Linked DNA regions of Callithrix jacchus. The protein of the gene in region 1 interacts with the protein of each later gene in a pairwise test. Links are inferred from orthologs where the notes say so. Each region holds a gene or a part of one and is shown in the gene's direction. Other genes may lie near its edges.

Region 1 (3,967 bases):
GAGGCAAGGGGGTGGCGTCTGTGCCATACCTTCTCCAAAGCGCTGCTCACCCAGGCGACTCGGGTTGGCAAATTCGTACTCGGCGGTGGCTGGGTGGGCATGTGGCACTGAGCGGCCCGACATGGCTGCAGAAGCAGCGGAAGCCCTGGTCCGAGGTGCAGCCCCAACAGACGCAGCGCGACCCCTCCAGCTGCCGGGAGAGCTAGGGCTCAATAGGAGGTGGGGGCGGGGTCGACACCACCCAAAATAGTGCCGTGCCTCTGCGGGGGAGGGGTGGGGAGTGGGGGCCCTCAGTGAGAGCAACAGGGTGTAACCAGTGCCGCCCGGACCCCTAGTCCCCTCCCCCGAACACTTCAGCTGTTGCAGGGGGTCTGAGAGGACAGCTGAAGGTCCTGGCTGGGAACAAGCTGGGGAGGGGGAGCTAGTGGTGTCTAGGACATGAAGAGGCCTTGCTGAGACCCTCACGAACGGTTTCCACGTTTCCACAGCACATTTCCTCCTCCTCAGTGGCAGGCACTGTGCACCCAATAAATTCCTAAAGCTCTCCTGGATTTAATTAATGTTCTGAGAGCCACATAGGATGAAAGATGCAAGAAGTCTTTTGCTCTTTCTTCAGGGGTGAGGTCTTTCTGCCCAGATGTCAGGGTCCTCCCCTGAACCCAGGTCAACCCAGGGCACGAGGCAGATGGCTGGTACTGACATGTTGACCATCACTGCTCTCTTCTAAGGACTCACAAAGAGTTAATGTCCCTGGGGCCCAGCCTAGGAAGATTCCAGTCCCTGCCCAGGCCCAAGATAGTTGCTGGCCTGATTCCCTTGGCATGCAGGACTGGAGAGGAGGAGGAGGGGCACACCCCCCTATGCCTGCTTGGGATTCCTGACTCTGTCCCAGCTTCAGAGAACAGGGGTGGGGGTGGGTGCCCATTGGGTGTGGACAGAAAGCTAGTGAAACAAGACCATGACAAGTCACTGGCCAGCTCAGACGTGTTTGTGTTTCTCTTTTCTTAGCTCAGTGAGTACTGGGTATGTGTCACACTGCCAAATCCCCGATCACAAGTCTCCATGAACCGGCAGTGAGCTAGGATAATAAAACCCCTGACATCACCATTCCAGAAGCTTCACAAGACCGCATATATAAGGGGCTGGCTGTAGCTGCAGCTGAAGGAGCTGACCAGCCAGCTGACCCCCAACACTCACCTAGCCACCATGGACATCGCCATCCACCACCCCTGGATCCGCCGCCCCTTCTTTCCTTTCCACTCCCCCAGCCGCCTCTTTGACCAGTTCTTCGGAGAGCACCTGTTGGAGTCTGATCTTTTCCCAACATCTACTTCCCTGAGCCCCTTCTACCTTCGGCCACCCTCTTTCCTGCGGGCACCAAGCTGGTTTGACACTGGACTCTCAGAGGTGAGTCTTCCCCTCCCAGGATGGGAGAGTCCTTACTGGAACATCCTGGAAACTTCTCCATCCATTTTTCTTTCCTTCCCTGCCTAAACAATTTTAGGCACATGTGTGTCCAAAAGTGAAGAAAAATGAGGTTGCTAGTGCCTTCCTCCCCTGTCAGCTATTTCTATTTGATGGTCCTCTGTATCCCATTTATTACATTTTTCTATGCACCGTCGAGTTCATCCTCTGTCCCCTAACTTCTCTCTGCAGGATACCCCTTTCTAGTTTGGTTCATAACGATCTGCAGGGAAAGAGCTGCCTTCGAACTCCTTTACTCATCTCTTCTAACACCTCAGACTCTTGACCAATTTTACCATCTCAGGTTTCAGAGCCAGGAGAGAGCCCTGCCTCATCCTGAGCTGTTCATCCCCACTGGGTGGAGCTGGGGCCAACCACCACTATTTTCTGCCTTTCTATTCCTTCTTCTAGGATTTTCTGGGTCCCTTAAGGCTGTGACAGAGCACTGGCCTGGGTCCAACCAAGCCTTATGAGGAAACAATATAGGTCTAGTCTTGGGATCCCCCACTTGTCCTGAGAGGGTGGGAGAAAAGGGTGAACAAATAAGGTTGACCGAAGCTGTTACAGATAACACTCTGGTTTAAAAATATTTGAGTGTGAGTAAACAGGACCTGAGTGGGCAAGGGCTTTGGAAGGACAAGCAGGACCAGCAGAACATTCCAGATTGGGTGGGTGGAAAACTGGCAAAGAGACCTGAGCAAGAAGAAGAAAGGCCTTTGTCTCACAGACAAACCACAAAGCCAGGCATTGGAGTCAGAGAGGCAGCAGATGCCAGGCCTGCACCCATCTTTGTGACTGGTCCCCTGGGTGATCTGTCTTCTTCTCTGTCCCTGGAAATAAAGTTTAGGTCTGATCACCACGAGCCTTAGGTATCACTATGGTGGCTCCCTGAAGCAGAGAGCCGTGTTTATTTAAAAAGGCGATTTTCTTTAAGCAGAAAAAAGAAGGATGAATTACCTGGACAGAAAGCAACTCTGCAGAATGGTAAGACAGCACCAGTATAATTAGTATTTTTGCCATCTTTTTCCAACCCCATTCTCTTACCTTGCTATTTTTAGATGCGCCTGGAGAAGGACAGGTTCTCTGTCAACCTGGATGTGAAGCACTTCTCCCCAGAGGAACTCAAAGTTAAGGTGCTGGGAGATGTGATTGAGGTGCATGGCAAACATGAAGAGCGCCAGGTATGTAGCTTGTTTTTGGTTTTTGTTTTCTGCTCATTCATTCAGTGCATACTGTAATAGTCTCAGTAGAGCTCTCAGCTTCGGAGGCTGGCTACATTCCAGTCCCAAGCCATAACGGTCTGGATCAGGGCTTACAAATCAATGTCTGGAAGACTAAGTTAGGGAGAGACCTACTGCTGTCATGACTGTTGTTATGGCCAGAGATGCGGCTTTTGTTTTATTTGATCACCTTAGATGGGATGCTGATGCCCCATCAAGGCCAGTGGTTCTGAATCTCGGCCACATTAGAATCACCAGGGGAACTTTCAAAAATCCTAATGCTCAGGCATACCCCAGACCAATTCAGTCAGAATTTTTAGGGATGGGACCCAGACATCAGCATTTTTTAAGGTGATTCTAATCTACAGTCAAGGTTGAGAACCACCGATTTAGGGTTAGGGTTGTAAGACACCTAGTTGCTTTGCATAATTACATTAACTACATGTACCCTGAAGGCTCTTGAGTTGTGACTTCTCTTTACTTGTGCAAGAATCCACGTTTCATCTTTAGTCCATCTTAATGCTGAACCACTTGGTTTGTCTAAATTTCAGTCTTCAGTCCCCCTGTAGCCTATGTGGAAATCAGTTAATGAGAGCCTGTTTGGTTACATGCTTGAGAGTCGGCAGGCATACGGGTAAAGGTCACCTACCCTTTGTGGGAATTCTGACGAATGGAACAGCTTCTCATGACTTTGTGAGAGGGCTTTAAAATTGTTTCTTACCAATTAATGATAGCTCAGAACCTGTGCATCAACTAGTACAGTTTGTCCTTAGTAACGTCCTCGAGCTGTTTCCATTTTGCTCATATGATTTAGGTTTGGGTTATAGTCTCCTTGGATGGAGTCATTTTTCTTCTTCTTCTTCTTTTTTTTTTTTTGCAGCAGTCCTATTGTTCTGGAACATTCTGGGACATTCCTGAAGAGTCAGGACAATTTCCGGGTTTCCTCAGGGACTCAGATTCTAAATGAGATTCCAAATTCTGTAGGCCCAGCCAACAGAATTTGATCTAAACCTTTGGGAAATACCCCTAAACATGTCTATGCCTCTGGGTTTGAAAAACAATGATGTATTGGGCTGTTTCAGACTTCTCAGATTCTCACTGGTAGGAATGACTCTACCTAGGCAACTTCATCTTAACTCCAAACCTGAAACAAAGAATTATTTATTCTTCCTATGTTGTCATGGCATCTGGTCTCACCTAAGGGGAAATCGGGATGCTTGAGTTCTGGGCAGGTGATAATATTTCCTGTTTTTATTTCTCTGCCTCTTTCCTCATTCTCTTGG
Region 2 (4,099 bases), on another chromosome or scaffold:
GCTTGTCATCAAGATGCATTTTCATAGGAAGCCCACTATTTTTACTCAGATTGTACATATAGACATATAAGTGATTGAAAATAGCCAAGTTATTTCTAAATAAAATTATTCTTGTCAATTCTTACTATTTTTGTTTTGTTGGTTTTGCGGGGGCTGATGAAAATTATGAGGGTCTTCTCTCCTGGCTTCCTTCAGGGTCCTACCCCTTGAACCCTCACCATCAATTCTGTCATTCTTTTGCATGAGATAAGCTATACGTTTCCACTTTCAAGCACATATATACGGATTCAGTACACTCACTGCCTTTCTTTTAAAGAGCTGATTAACTTAAAGCCGATTTAATTTTGCTTAGTTTTTGATCGCCCCGCGCCCCCTTTCCCCAGCCTCTATACACACAAGTAGGTCAGGGTTCTAAAGCCATTTTACAGGCGTAATTGAAGCAGAGGCCACAGAGGGGCAGCGCTGGGTCCGCTCCCGTCATCGGGCTCTGGGGGGCTGCGCAGCTTTGCCTGGACAGACCCCTGGAGCTGCAATTCCTGGGCAGTGTGGGAGGCGTTCGGCTGAAGCTCTTTGTTTCTGCTTTCATGAGCGACTCCTCGGAGAAGACGTGGGAGTTAAGGACTGGGGGCGGCGTGGACGCTGCCCGCCCGCACCCCCTGCCCAGCTGCAGACCGTGCGAATGTGTGTGTGTCTCCAATGGAAAAACCCTACCTAGAACGACTGTCCCCCGGCTCCGCGTCTCTCCCACCTTCCCATCGCTTCTTTATGCTCTTGTTTCCCCACGCTGATCCCGAGGCTGCGGGCGAGGATTCCAGGGAGGGGCCTAGTCCGGGGGACAAACGCTTCAGAGGGGTCCCGAGGTGCGAGCTGGGGAGAGCCAGTGGGTGGGAAGGGGGGCGCTGGCGCCTGGCGGCTGGGGTGGAGGAGTGGCTGGCGCCCTCCCTCCGCGCAGCGCAGCCGCCGAGCGGTCACGTCCGGAGCGGCCCCCGCGCCCTCCTCGCGCCCACCCCGCGTCCATCCCCCCCGCGGACGCGGACTCGCGGCAGGGTGCTAGTGAGCGCGTGTGCGCGTGGGAGAGTGGCGGAAGGGGGCCGGGCTCGCAGCCGCAGCGAACCAAGTCCCCGGGAGCAGAGCCGAGCGCGCCCCCGAGCCGTCACCCGCCGGAGCTGCGAGCGCTGAAGCCATTCATGATTTTGGTGACGTTATTCCAGGAGTGGGCGACGGAGGGCGGGGCCTCTCGGGGCCAAGCTCCGCCCCCTCCCCTATAAATACTGCTTCCCGGGCTCTTTGTGGGGCCAAGAGCTCAGTGGAGAGCTGGGAGTTGTGTCCGCCTCGCCGACACCGCTGGCCGTGGGACTGTCCTGGGAAGGCGGACGGCGAACACCCGGTGCCCGCACTCGGCCACCTGCCGTGCCCGTGTGCTCCCGTGTCATCCTCGCTTGGGACGCAGGGACAGCTTTTAAATCACAGGGGCGTGGGTCAGCCTCCCCTAGGACTTCATGTCTATATATTTCCCCTTTCACTGGTGAGTACGCTGCGGGCGTCCGTCTCGTGGCGGTGACCGCGGGCCCGGGCGCCTGCTTTGTGCCGGCTCCGTGTGCGAGGGCAGCCGGCGGCGCGGGCGCTTGGCGCTAACCGGCCGCCAGAGCCAGTGCAGGAGTCAACGTCAAGGTTGCAAAGGTGGGGGTGGGGGGAGGGGGGTGCTGAGAACATCCAGACAAAGGACGTGAACTCGGAGCCCTCACCTAAGTGACGGCCGGAGGGTTTGTATTGGTTGGTGGGGGAGCCAGGGGTCACGTGTGAATCCCCTCAGTGAAACCCCCTCTGCGGAGGGCTGCAGGAGGCGCGCGCCTCCTGGCGCAGGGGGGCTCCTGCTCTTCCCCGGCCCCTCCTCTTTTTCTTTTTGTTTGCATGCAAGTCTCGGCGTCGAGGCCGGCTGCAGCGGGGCTGAGCTGCTGCAGCCGCGGGGTTTGCAGAGCTCCGGGGGTTGGGGGGCGGGAAACGCTCTCCCTACACGTAACCCCGCTAAAGCCGCAAGCAGCAGGGCACAGGCTGCAGCCTCTCCACCCCTGCCTTCTCCGTAGCCCCTAAAAACCGATGCACCTTGGTGGGGGCCGGGGCAGGGAGGAGCCGCCTTCGCGGTGCTGAGCTGGAAAGAACCCCGGCCGGGCTCGGGGCGTCGGAGTTTTGCCACGGACTGGGGATCGGAGCCGGGAAGGGTGCGGAGAGAGGCAGGCAGGCCCCTGGCTGCTGGGACTTCCTCGCCGGCGGTTTCTTCCTTCCTGCCCTGGGTTAGAAGAGAAGCGGCCGGGGGCGAGCGCTAGCGGCCCCGGAGCGCGCTCTCAGGTGCGGACGTGGGGAGCTCGGCCCCGAGTAGCTGGCAGGCGCTGAGCGAAGGGAAAGCGGGCTCAAACCTCGGCGCGGTCGGGCCTGGCCCAGGAAGCGGAAAGTTCATGCTTCTCGCTTCAACTTTTCGGTCCAGCGCTACAGCCCCGAGCGAGGATAGAGCGCCCCTAAGTCAGGCTCTTCGCCCTATGAGCGGTCTTCTGGCACCTTTCTTTGGGGGTCGACAGCAGCCTTTCCAGGACCCAGGCGGAAACTGCCTTTGCAGGGCCCGGCTCCGGAACCTAAACTTGCACCAAAGAGCCCCATCTTCTCTTAGTCTCCCTGCCCCCATCCCAGCCTAGCAGTGTTTAGAGAGGGGCTAAACTTCCCTCTCTCAGCAGTTCAAGTTCCCCCACACCGACGCTTGTGTGCCCTTCTTGTGGGCGCCCCTCCCTTGCCTCTGCCATAGTGTCCGAGCAGCTTGGTGCCTTATTCCAGGTGAGGATTTGAAGGCTGTTGGAGGCTTTGTGGCTTTGGCTGCTCAAAATGTGCCAAGGTGGGTGTTTGGGCATATTAGGCGTATTATGAGAAATTTAAGGTTAAGATGATTTCATCAATTAGCGCTTTGTAGCTTGCAATGCTTTTGTGGAGACATTAGTCCTTAACTGTGAGGTATGCACTATTAGCATCAGAGTAACAAACAGGACACTTGTGGCTCAGAGAAGTTACAGGACTTGTTCAAGATCAAACAGCTCTTGAGGGGCAGAGCCTAGACTCTATTGCTTCTGTTTCTAAATCCAGCGTCATTTCTTGTCTATGTAGTAACCTTACAGTAAAGAGGAATCTGGTACCCCTGTTTCCTTAGATAGCGTCCCTCAAAAGCCTTCCCCACATTTTTGTTTTAAACCATGTGCACAGGCACGAATGTGAAAGCATTGGGTGCTGTGTCGCGGGTACCTGGATTTGCTGCGAACGTTCAGTGTTATGTGCACGGGATCCCGTATGTGCCCAGGGCTTGTGCAGGGATAATGGAACATTTGTATCCTGCTTAAAGAGTACAAAGCCCTTTCACATGGCAGCCATTGGTGGGCCAGCTTGGCCCCTCTGGAAATTTCCTTTGCAATCAGAGTCGGGTATCCTTAAGGCTTTTAATCCAGGGGATGTTTTTCAAGCTGTGAGCAAGCAGCTGCTATGGCTCGGGCTAGAGAAAGGGGTTGGATGGCAGATGTGAAACTTGCAGAAAAGCTGACCCCTTGGGGCTTTAAGTGGAACATTTTGCCAAAAAGAGCACCAGAGAGACAGACATTTAGGAAGGCCATATGATTGGACTTTGTTTTCCTCCAGTTGACCCTGTTGTTGTAATTAAATGTTATATAATAACATATAGTTTCCCTTTGGAAAATTTATGTGAGGATTATTTTTATTCTTGGTTGGAGAGGTGAAGGGAGATGTGGTTGAATTGGTTTTAATATAGACAGATGGACTCAGCTACCTACTGTTTTTGCTTCTCTAGTTCTGTCATTTAAAAGAACATTCAGGGTCCTTCTGTCCCAGTGGGGACTAGAGTACAGGGGAGGAAGAGGAGGTTTGCCAGAGAGGTCTGCAGACAGAGGTCTGCAGACAATGGGCTTTATCCGCTGGGGCTGAGTCCTGGGGCTGTGGGCTTGCAAGGCGCTTCCTCCGGGTGTGAGCTTGTTTTTCTGCAAGTTCTGTTTTGAACACCTCTCATCCTGTCTCCAGACAGTCCCCTGATCCCACAGCAGCGAATGCATGA
Region 3 (3,594 bases), on another chromosome or scaffold:
GTTGGATTTATTACTTGTTACAGCAAGGGAGAACATGCTCCTTGGGGAAGCGTGGAATGTCTCAGTAAGAGGGCTTAGGAAGAAATTGTTATAGGATTTGCACTTTAGTTGTGTGATTTAGGAAAGGAGCTAAAAAAGCTGGAATTCACTCTAGATCAGATGTTAGCAGAAAGCAGGATTAATTCTGTGATTACTTATCTCAAGAAATCTTACCCGTAGGGAGGGGAGACTAGAACACGGATAAACCTGTGATTCATAAAGAAGTAGCAGTTAGTCATTTTGGCTGAGAGAGTGGGGCTTGGGATTTTGAGAGTGGAGCATTGACTTTGTTTTGGTCTGGGCTTGGACAAAGCTAGGAAGTGGCTTTACTTTATCTCATTTCATCATGGTCTTGGAGTAGTCTTGTCCGAAGTTGTTATGCTGTGAGACTGTTTATGTCTAATAGGGGAATAACATGTCCTCACTGTGAGTGCAAGGCAGCATCCGAGTGTCAGAGGCTGCTCTTTTTTCTCACTTTTTTTTTCCTCGTTAATCAGACTATAGTCCACGAGATAACTCAAGTGGTTATGCTATTTACCATGCAGCTAATCAGTGGGCCTTCCGAGTACAGGCGGCCTGAGTCCAAAGCTCACACTCTTGCCTGTGAAGCTTTATGACCTCCCGCAAGCTTGAAAAAGGGAAAGCGATCTATAAAGCAGTATACGGTACTTCTGAGTCTTGGGTGCAGTGACCACAGAAACCTTTCCCTTGCGTGTTATTACAAATTCACTACCAAGGCCTGATTTCTAGTTACATGACATGCACCCATGAAAGGCAAAGTTAAGAGCTGTCTTAAAGCATTGAGTTAACAAAGTCAAAACTAGCCGAGATAAGAATCTAGATTTATGTCCTGCACTGGACTGCAAAATTGTGTAAAGACAAAAATGTAAGATAGAGCAGTCTCTGCCATCCAGCGAAATGAGTCAGTGCTTGTGGCGTTCTACCTCAACAACCTCTCTGGAATCCTGGAGAGATTCTATAATGACATAGATCTTTCCCAGAAAATTCACAGAGAATAATTGAATCACATAGGGAGAGTCACGAATTTCACGCCGAAAGTGCAGACTGATGCACAGATAAATTTAGAAAACACTAAGAATCCAAATAAAAGCAACGCAGAGCAGTAATGTACAGGACAGCTTTAGAATATGCCAGAGAACAAGGACACAATCTACAGTCATTTCCAGTGAATGCAGCATGTTAAAGGGATGCATAAAATCCCCTTACTGCCGAGGGCCCCTTTTGTGTTATTCTTGCCAACGCAGCAGCCACCCTGCTATATAGGCTGGCTGCGCGGCCACAGGCACCATCACACTGAACTTTGCGGCCCCATCGCACTGAGCTTGCATCATCCGTCTTCACCAGCCATGGGGAAGGTGAGCAGAACACAATTAAATAAAATGAAAAAAACTGCCTTTATATAATACCTGTTAGGAGCAAATAATGTAACTCGGAATGATTCTTCCTTTGCAGATCACCTTCTTCGAAGACAGGGCCTTCCAGGGCCGCAGCTACGAGTGCACTACCGACTGCCCCAACCTGCAGACCTATTTCAGCCGCTGCAACTCCATCCGGGTGGAGAGCGGCTGCTGGATGCTTTATGAGCGCCCCAACTACCAAGGTCACCAGTACTTGCTGCGGCGCGGGGAGTATCCTGACTACCAGCAATGGATGGGCCTCAGCGACTCCATCCGCTCCTGTTGTCTCATCCCCCAGGTGAGTTTTCTAGATTTCGATCCTGCTGCCGGAGTGTCCGCACTGCATTGTCAATGTGGATTAGGCGGAGGGAGGTTTGCATTTAAAAACACCTAAGGGCTGGAAGGACATTGAACACCTGCAGAAGCCAGATAGAGAACACGCACAAAAACAGCAGAGAATATAAGGAAGAACGCACTTAGAGGAAGGATCTGTTTTCCTTTAAATTTTTGCTACCGATAAGTCAATCAAAAATGGCCTGTAACAAATGTAATATACCATAATGTGATATAAAACAAAACTTGCAAACGGGAAGCTGATTGGGCATACAAAGACAGTATTTTTAACAAATTGTTTTGCCTATTGTAAAGGAATTTCTGATGAATGAATTAGATAGGTTCCATTGTGGACTAGTAAGTAAACCTTCACAACTGTATTGTTAATATAGGCTAGCCAAAGGTGTATCCCACTTTGGAAAAGGTAATTTTTCTTAATTTGGAAAATCAGTTAAATTCTCTTTCCAAATGACTATTTAAATTAACTTTACACCAAAGTACAAGATTTTTAAAATTTTACTTTAGTGGTAAATTTATATGTTTATAAATTTGAGAGATAATATTCTTACTAGAAGAATGCTAGTCAAAATAAATTATTTCTATTTTTCCCCCAAATGTAGTTTGAATTAACACAGGTAATTAGGAATCAAGATATTTGAGTTCTTGATGGTTTCCAACTCAGAGTTTGAACCTCTTAAAAATTCCGTCTCCTGAATAAGAATGAATTTCAGGTCCAAAGTGCAGGTCAAATAGAAAATGAGCAGGCCAGTATTTAAGTGCTAGCAGAAGATAGATCCACGCACAGCATCACAGCAATCTGCTACGTTTTACATTGTCTAAATTTTACATGGACAATTCCATGCCCCAACATACCAAGTTCATCTGTTCTTTGGTTGAACAAATTCTAAAAGAGACTCATTTGCTTTTTTCCATCCTGCTTTCTGTGGACTGAGTAGACAGGCTCCCACAGGCTGCGGCTGTATGAGAGAGAAGACCACAAAGGCCTCATGATGGAGCTGAGTGAGGACTGCCCCAGCATCCAGGACCGCTTCCACCTCAGCGAGATCCGTTCCCTCCACGTGCTGGAGGGCTGCTGGGTCCTCTACGAGCTGCCCAACTACCGGGGGCGGCAGTTCCTGCTGAGGCCCCAAGAGTACAGGCGGTGCCAGGACTGGGGGGCCATGGATGCTAAGGCAGGCTCTTTGCGGAAAGTGGTGGATTTATACTAAAATAGCTTGACACTCCCAATTTCCCACTTTGGAACCTAATAAAGTATTTAGTCTGCATTGTTGGCAATTGCTGACTTCTGTCTTTCTTTCATTGTGCAAATCAGTTCACCTTTAAATGCTCCTTGTTAAAAGTTAAGTAGTGAATGGAGATGAAAGCAGCGTCTGTTGGAGAAGAGCTTCAAGGTAGAATGAGTTTGAACAAGGCTCGGAATTTGGGGTGGAAGCAGGGTGTCACCTGCCTGAGAAACAAAAGGCAAGGCAATGCCAGAGAGCTGGCGGAGGCTGGCTGGCGAGAAGAGAGGCATTCAACTAAGCACCTTGAGGAACAAGAGTTCAGAAGTTTCCTTGTGACCCAAAATGTGGGTCAGACAAAGGGTAAAGTCAGATGAGTGGTGAGAGCAAACTTAACTTGGCCAATAGCCTGATTAGACTATATAAAGGATTGTCGTTTTGTTACTCTCAGGCACGGTATTTTATAACTAATGCCAGGGCCACCCTGGCCAATGACATACCTTTGAACAAAGTTAAAGACCATTCGTCTTTGTTTGAAAATGGCTCCTGTCCAGGACTGCAGC
Region 4 (4,035 bases), on another chromosome or scaffold:
AAGACACAACCTGGGCTGCAAAGGTTTGTGCACTTAAGAAGCGTGAATAAAGGCTGGGCACCCATGTGGCAGTGATGGGGCCAGCGGTAGGGATGTAGGAGCCTCTTACTCTAGGACAGTGGTTAAGAAATGGGCTGGGTGTGGTGGCTCACGCCTGTAATCCTAGCACTTTAGGAGGCCAAGGCAGGCGGATTGCCTGAGCTCAGGAGTTCAAGACTACCCTGGGCAACATGGCGAAACCCCATCTTTACTAAAATACAAAATAAATAAATAAACATTTAGCAGGATGTGGTGGCATACACCTGTAGTCCCAGCTACTAGGGAAGCTGAGACAGGAGAATCACCTGAACCTGGGAGCAGAGGTTGCAGTGAGCCGAGATTGCACCACTGCACTCCAGCCTAGGCGACAGAGGAGATTCTGTCTCAAAAAAAGAAAGAAAAGAAAAAAGAACAAAAGAAACAGCCAGGGGCCTGGAGAATGAACTGTGCTCTCCACAGTGGCCCTCCCTGGTCCTGCCACATCAGGCCCCTGCCCGCCTTGGCCACCTGGCACAGGCCCTATTTGTCACATGCCATGCTTTAGCTATGTTAACCTGTTTTCAGGTCTTGAAATACACCATGCAGGTTCCTTATCTGTGGGCCCTTCCTGCTTGGAACTTTCCTCCCACCCTGTTCCCAGGCTTCTTCCTCTTCTCCATCCCTGAGGGATGTGCTACCTCCCAGTAGCTTTTCTGAATGGCGCAGGCTGGGGTAGGTCCTCTTCCAGACCTTCCCTAGAACTCTGCTTGGCGCCGAGTGGATGCCCGGCAAATATTCATTGAATAAATAAATGGGTAGATGAATGAAACCCAGGCTCAGCCAAATCACCCTTCTTTACTTATTCTTCCTCAAGCCCACTGAGATTCTCTTCTGTCTGCCATGCCTCGGGGCCTGACTGACCATACCAGTGAACCCGGCGTGCCCCGGCCCTGGCAGCCGGATGGCTGATGCATACAAAGTGGGCATCTCCTTGCCTAGCCGCCTGACTGCCCTGGCGCGGCCGAATCTGAAAGCTAATGACATTATTGTGCAGAGACACAATGTCTGTGAGCATTTGCTGACCCAAGCTTCGGTGGGAGCTTAAGCCGGCATTCTCACCCTGCTTTTCGCAGGAATGCAGCAGTCACTCATCTTGGCACTGACACTTCTGGGGAAGGTATAAATGCCACCTCCCACCGGCCGAGCTTCACGGCACTCGCAGGGACTGGTGTCGCTGGTAAGATCGCCTCTCTTTCGTGTCTCCCCTTCTTTCTCTCATCCTAATCCCTGTCAGAAAGCATGGGAACACCCGCCACTTTCTGACAGGGTGATTTGGGCAGAGACTTTGATGCTGTCAGCCTCAGTTTTATTTTCTGGTAAATGGGGAGAGGGGTTTTAAAAAAGCCTTCTTTGTTGTGTGGATTCAAGAGAAGGTAGGTGAATCATCCGGCACAGTGCCCGGCACATAGTGGGTACTGGGGCAACGTTCTTTATTATTAATATTCAACGGACTACCAGTGTCCTTGTTTTGCCAGCCACTGAGGAGGAGAATGTAGCTGAGAGTTTTGCAAGAATCAAATCAGTGACAGTTCAGCATCGTTTCTAGGTGGGTGAGTCAGTTCTCCACATCTGCAATTACGGGGCGCCCCCTCGTGCCCAGTCTCTGGGAGCACTAGGGGATAGGACATAGCCCCAGGTACGTGAGCGCTCCAGCAGCAGGTGATTTTAATGCCACTGAAGCGAGGTAGCAATGACTGTAATAATGCCACAGTTGCTGTCATTTGCTGCATGCGGAGTCTGGGACCATGGCCAAGTGCTTCCGGTCTGATGCGTTACATAGTCGCATCCTCACAACCTGTTCACAGGTATTATTAGACATCGTGACTGCCCCATGTCACAGAACAGGAAGTTGAGGCATCGGGAGGGGAATTGACCTGCGCAGAGTCTCAAGTTTGGTAGGCAGCAGAGACAGCTCCTGAACTGGACCAAATGAGCTTCTTCAGCCTGCGGACGCTCAGGACTGGGAAGTGGGCTGGTGGGACCTCAGGCCCTCTGATAAGCCCAGGGGGCTGGTTTCTTGTGGGAGAGCAGTAGGTTTGGTTCCCAGGTCACTTAACTGAATTTCCTCCTTCTGGGACACATCCAGTCTTGGCCTTTGACATGGAAGGGGCTTCTGGAAGCTGGGCATTATCTCTGAAGAGGGAGGCCGGGCTTCCTCTCTTACCCCTGGGGAAACACAGGTTGGCCACCCCTCCAGCAGGAAGCGGGAAGAGGCTGACAATTTTCCAGATTTTTCTGATGTTCTCACTAGCTACAGCAGGTCTACCTGGCTGCCTGCCACAGTGCCTGGATTTCTACCATCGCACCCACTTCTTCCCTTTCTTGTAACATTAGTTCTGTAGAGACAATTTCACTAGTGGGGGAGTAAAACCAGTGGCAGAGAAGAGAAATCCAGGTACTGGGATGGGGAGATGAGTCCCAGGGAGAGGTGGGGGAAGGAGCAGGAGCACGGGAAACTTTGCGAGTTCCTAAACTGGGAGCCACCACCACACCAAATACAGGCAATGCATAGGTTTTGTTTGTTTCACACCATTTTCTTAAATTATTTCTGCATAAAGGCAGAAGTTATGGGATTGACAGATCTATATTCTGTGTGGTATCTGTTGTCTGGGGTTGAGTGACGGGGACCCCCTTGGGACCTGATTTAAGCTCTAGTTGATCACAGCCCGTTTTTTGCGTAGACCTCATTTTTCCCTCCTTCTGGAGCTGGCCTGGATACAAATAAATGAAGCTAAGGACAGAAGTTCAAGTAGCTGCTTTCGGACCCCACAGCTCTGAACCGGCTGAAACCAGGGTGGAAAGAAGACTGTTTGGGGCCAGAGAGGAGTAGTCCCCAGGCCCTACAGAGTGAAAAAGCCAATGGCCCCTCCAGGTCCTCAGTGCTGCTTCCCGTGTCTTCCAGGTCATTCCTGCAGAGGACCGTCCACCATGGCCTCGGACCACCAGACCCAGGCGGGCAAGCCACAGTCCCTCAACCCCAAGGTGGGTACCTCTCGGAGGAGGGGCGTGCAATGCTCCTCTCCCAGGCTTAGTCACCCTTCTGTAAAAGGGGCCTGGCATCTTTCTTCATGGGTCCCTCCTCTCCACCCCTGCCCCCTCTCTGGGACTCAGTCTCTCCTACCCACACACTTGGGGCTGATTCTGAAGGTCCCTTCTCAGCCCATAGCCAGCATGCTGGGATTCCCAGCACCAGCTTCCAGCTTTGGAGACTTCAGTTTCTCTCCCTTACCTGCTTTCCCACACCCTTTTGACAATAGGGCTCTCTGAAATTGGAGCAGACCCTCATCCTCAGTCAGAGATGGGATTTGTAGACAGAAATGGGCTGTGAGTCCTCGCTCTGCACCTGCTGTGTGATCCTGGCCAATTATTTGATCTTTCTGAGCCTCAGTTACATCTCTGTAAAGTGGGGAGGGTCAGATTTATTGCATAGGCAAGTTGTAAGAGGCAAAGAAACCAGGCTCAGCTTAACACCCAGCCTGGGGTGTGCATTCACCTAACGCCAGCAAATAATGGCTTCTTTTATTTCTCATCCACCTGCCCTCCCAAGGGTGGCAGGATCTTATCCCAACATCAGAGGCTTGTCACACTCAGTCTGCCCTCAAACCTCTATCGAGGAGCGCCCACCTGGCTGCCCTCCTGTGCTTCGCCGTTTTGGTAGCCCTGGGCACTGGTTCCATCAGGAATGGCCCCTTTGTCTGATTTGGTGCCTCCTGGGCCAGTGAACCCTGAGTGGATGCAGCTCCTCTCCTGCTCACCCCAATCTGTCCCTTATGGGTCTTACTTTACAGAAGAACAGAAAATAAACAAATGAATATATGATTTCCAGTAGTGAGAAGTGCTACAAATAAATGTAAACCAGGGGAAGGAGTTCCTGAGAGTCGGAATGGTTGTGTTAGCTCAGGTGGTCCAGGAGGGCCTCTCTGAGGAGGTGACTTTGAGCAGACACCTGGGTCAAGG

Evidence for each region. The genes of interacting proteins can lie anywhere in the genome.
Region 2: the proteins of CRYAB (region 1) and LBH interact in a two-hybrid assay, tested with the Homo sapiens proteins (2 studies listed by BioGRID, with this or other methods). The link is inferred for Callithrix jacchus from reciprocal best matches to the Homo sapiens genes CRYAB and LBH.
Region 3: the proteins of CRYAB (region 1) and CRYGC interact in binary tests that used the Homo sapiens proteins (3 or more experiments, as listed by UniProt). The link is inferred for Callithrix jacchus from reciprocal best matches to the Homo sapiens genes CRYAB and CRYGC.
Region 4: the proteins of CRYAB (region 1) and CRYBB2 interact in a two-hybrid assay, tested with the Homo sapiens proteins (2 studies listed by BioGRID and IntAct). The link is inferred for Callithrix jacchus from reciprocal best matches to the Homo sapiens genes CRYAB and CRYBB2.

The regions. Positions count from the first base shown.
Region 1 is NC_133511.1:11,616,953-11,620,919, reverse strand, and holds the start of CRYAB (alpha-crystallin B chain), read left to right. Parts: upstream 1-1,160; 5' UTR 1,161-1,206; coding exon 1,207-1,407; intron 1,408-2,278; exon of another isoform or gene 2,279-2,412; coding exon of another isoform or gene 2,413-2,448; intron 2,449-2,522; coding exon 2,523-2,645; intron 2,646-3,967. Other genes in the region: HSPB2 (heat shock protein beta-2), read right to left, coding at 30-123; uncharacterized protein LOC118145697, read left to right, coding at 1,009-1,066. UniProt on the Homo sapiens protein: May contribute to the transparency and refractive index of the lens. Has chaperone-like activity, preventing aggregation of various proteins under a wide range of stress conditions.
Region 2 is NC_133515.1:83,282,421-83,286,519, forward strand, and holds the start of LBH (protein LBH), read left to right. Parts: upstream 1-1,291; 5' UTR 1,292-1,499; coding exon 1,500-1,525; intron 1,526-4,099. UniProt on the Homo sapiens protein: Transcriptional activator which may act in mitogen-activated protein kinase signaling pathway.
Region 3 is NC_133507.1:129,616,130-129,619,723, reverse strand, and holds CRYGC (gamma-crystallin C), read left to right. Parts: upstream 1-1,171; 5' UTR 1,172-1,229; coding exon 1,230-1,415; intron 1,416-1,512; coding exon 1,513-1,755; intron 1,756-2,746; coding exon 2,747-3,019; 3' UTR 3,020-3,086; downstream 3,087-3,594. UniProt on the Homo sapiens protein: Crystallins are the dominant structural components of the vertebrate eye lens.
Region 4 is NC_133502.1:196,163,293-196,167,327, forward strand, and holds the start of CRYBB2 (beta-crystallin B2), read left to right. Parts: upstream 1-1,227; 5' UTR 1,228-1,255; intron 1,256-2,980; 5' UTR 2,981-3,006; coding exon 3,007-3,060; intron 3,061-4,035. UniProt on the Homo sapiens protein: Crystallins are the dominant structural components of the vertebrate eye lens.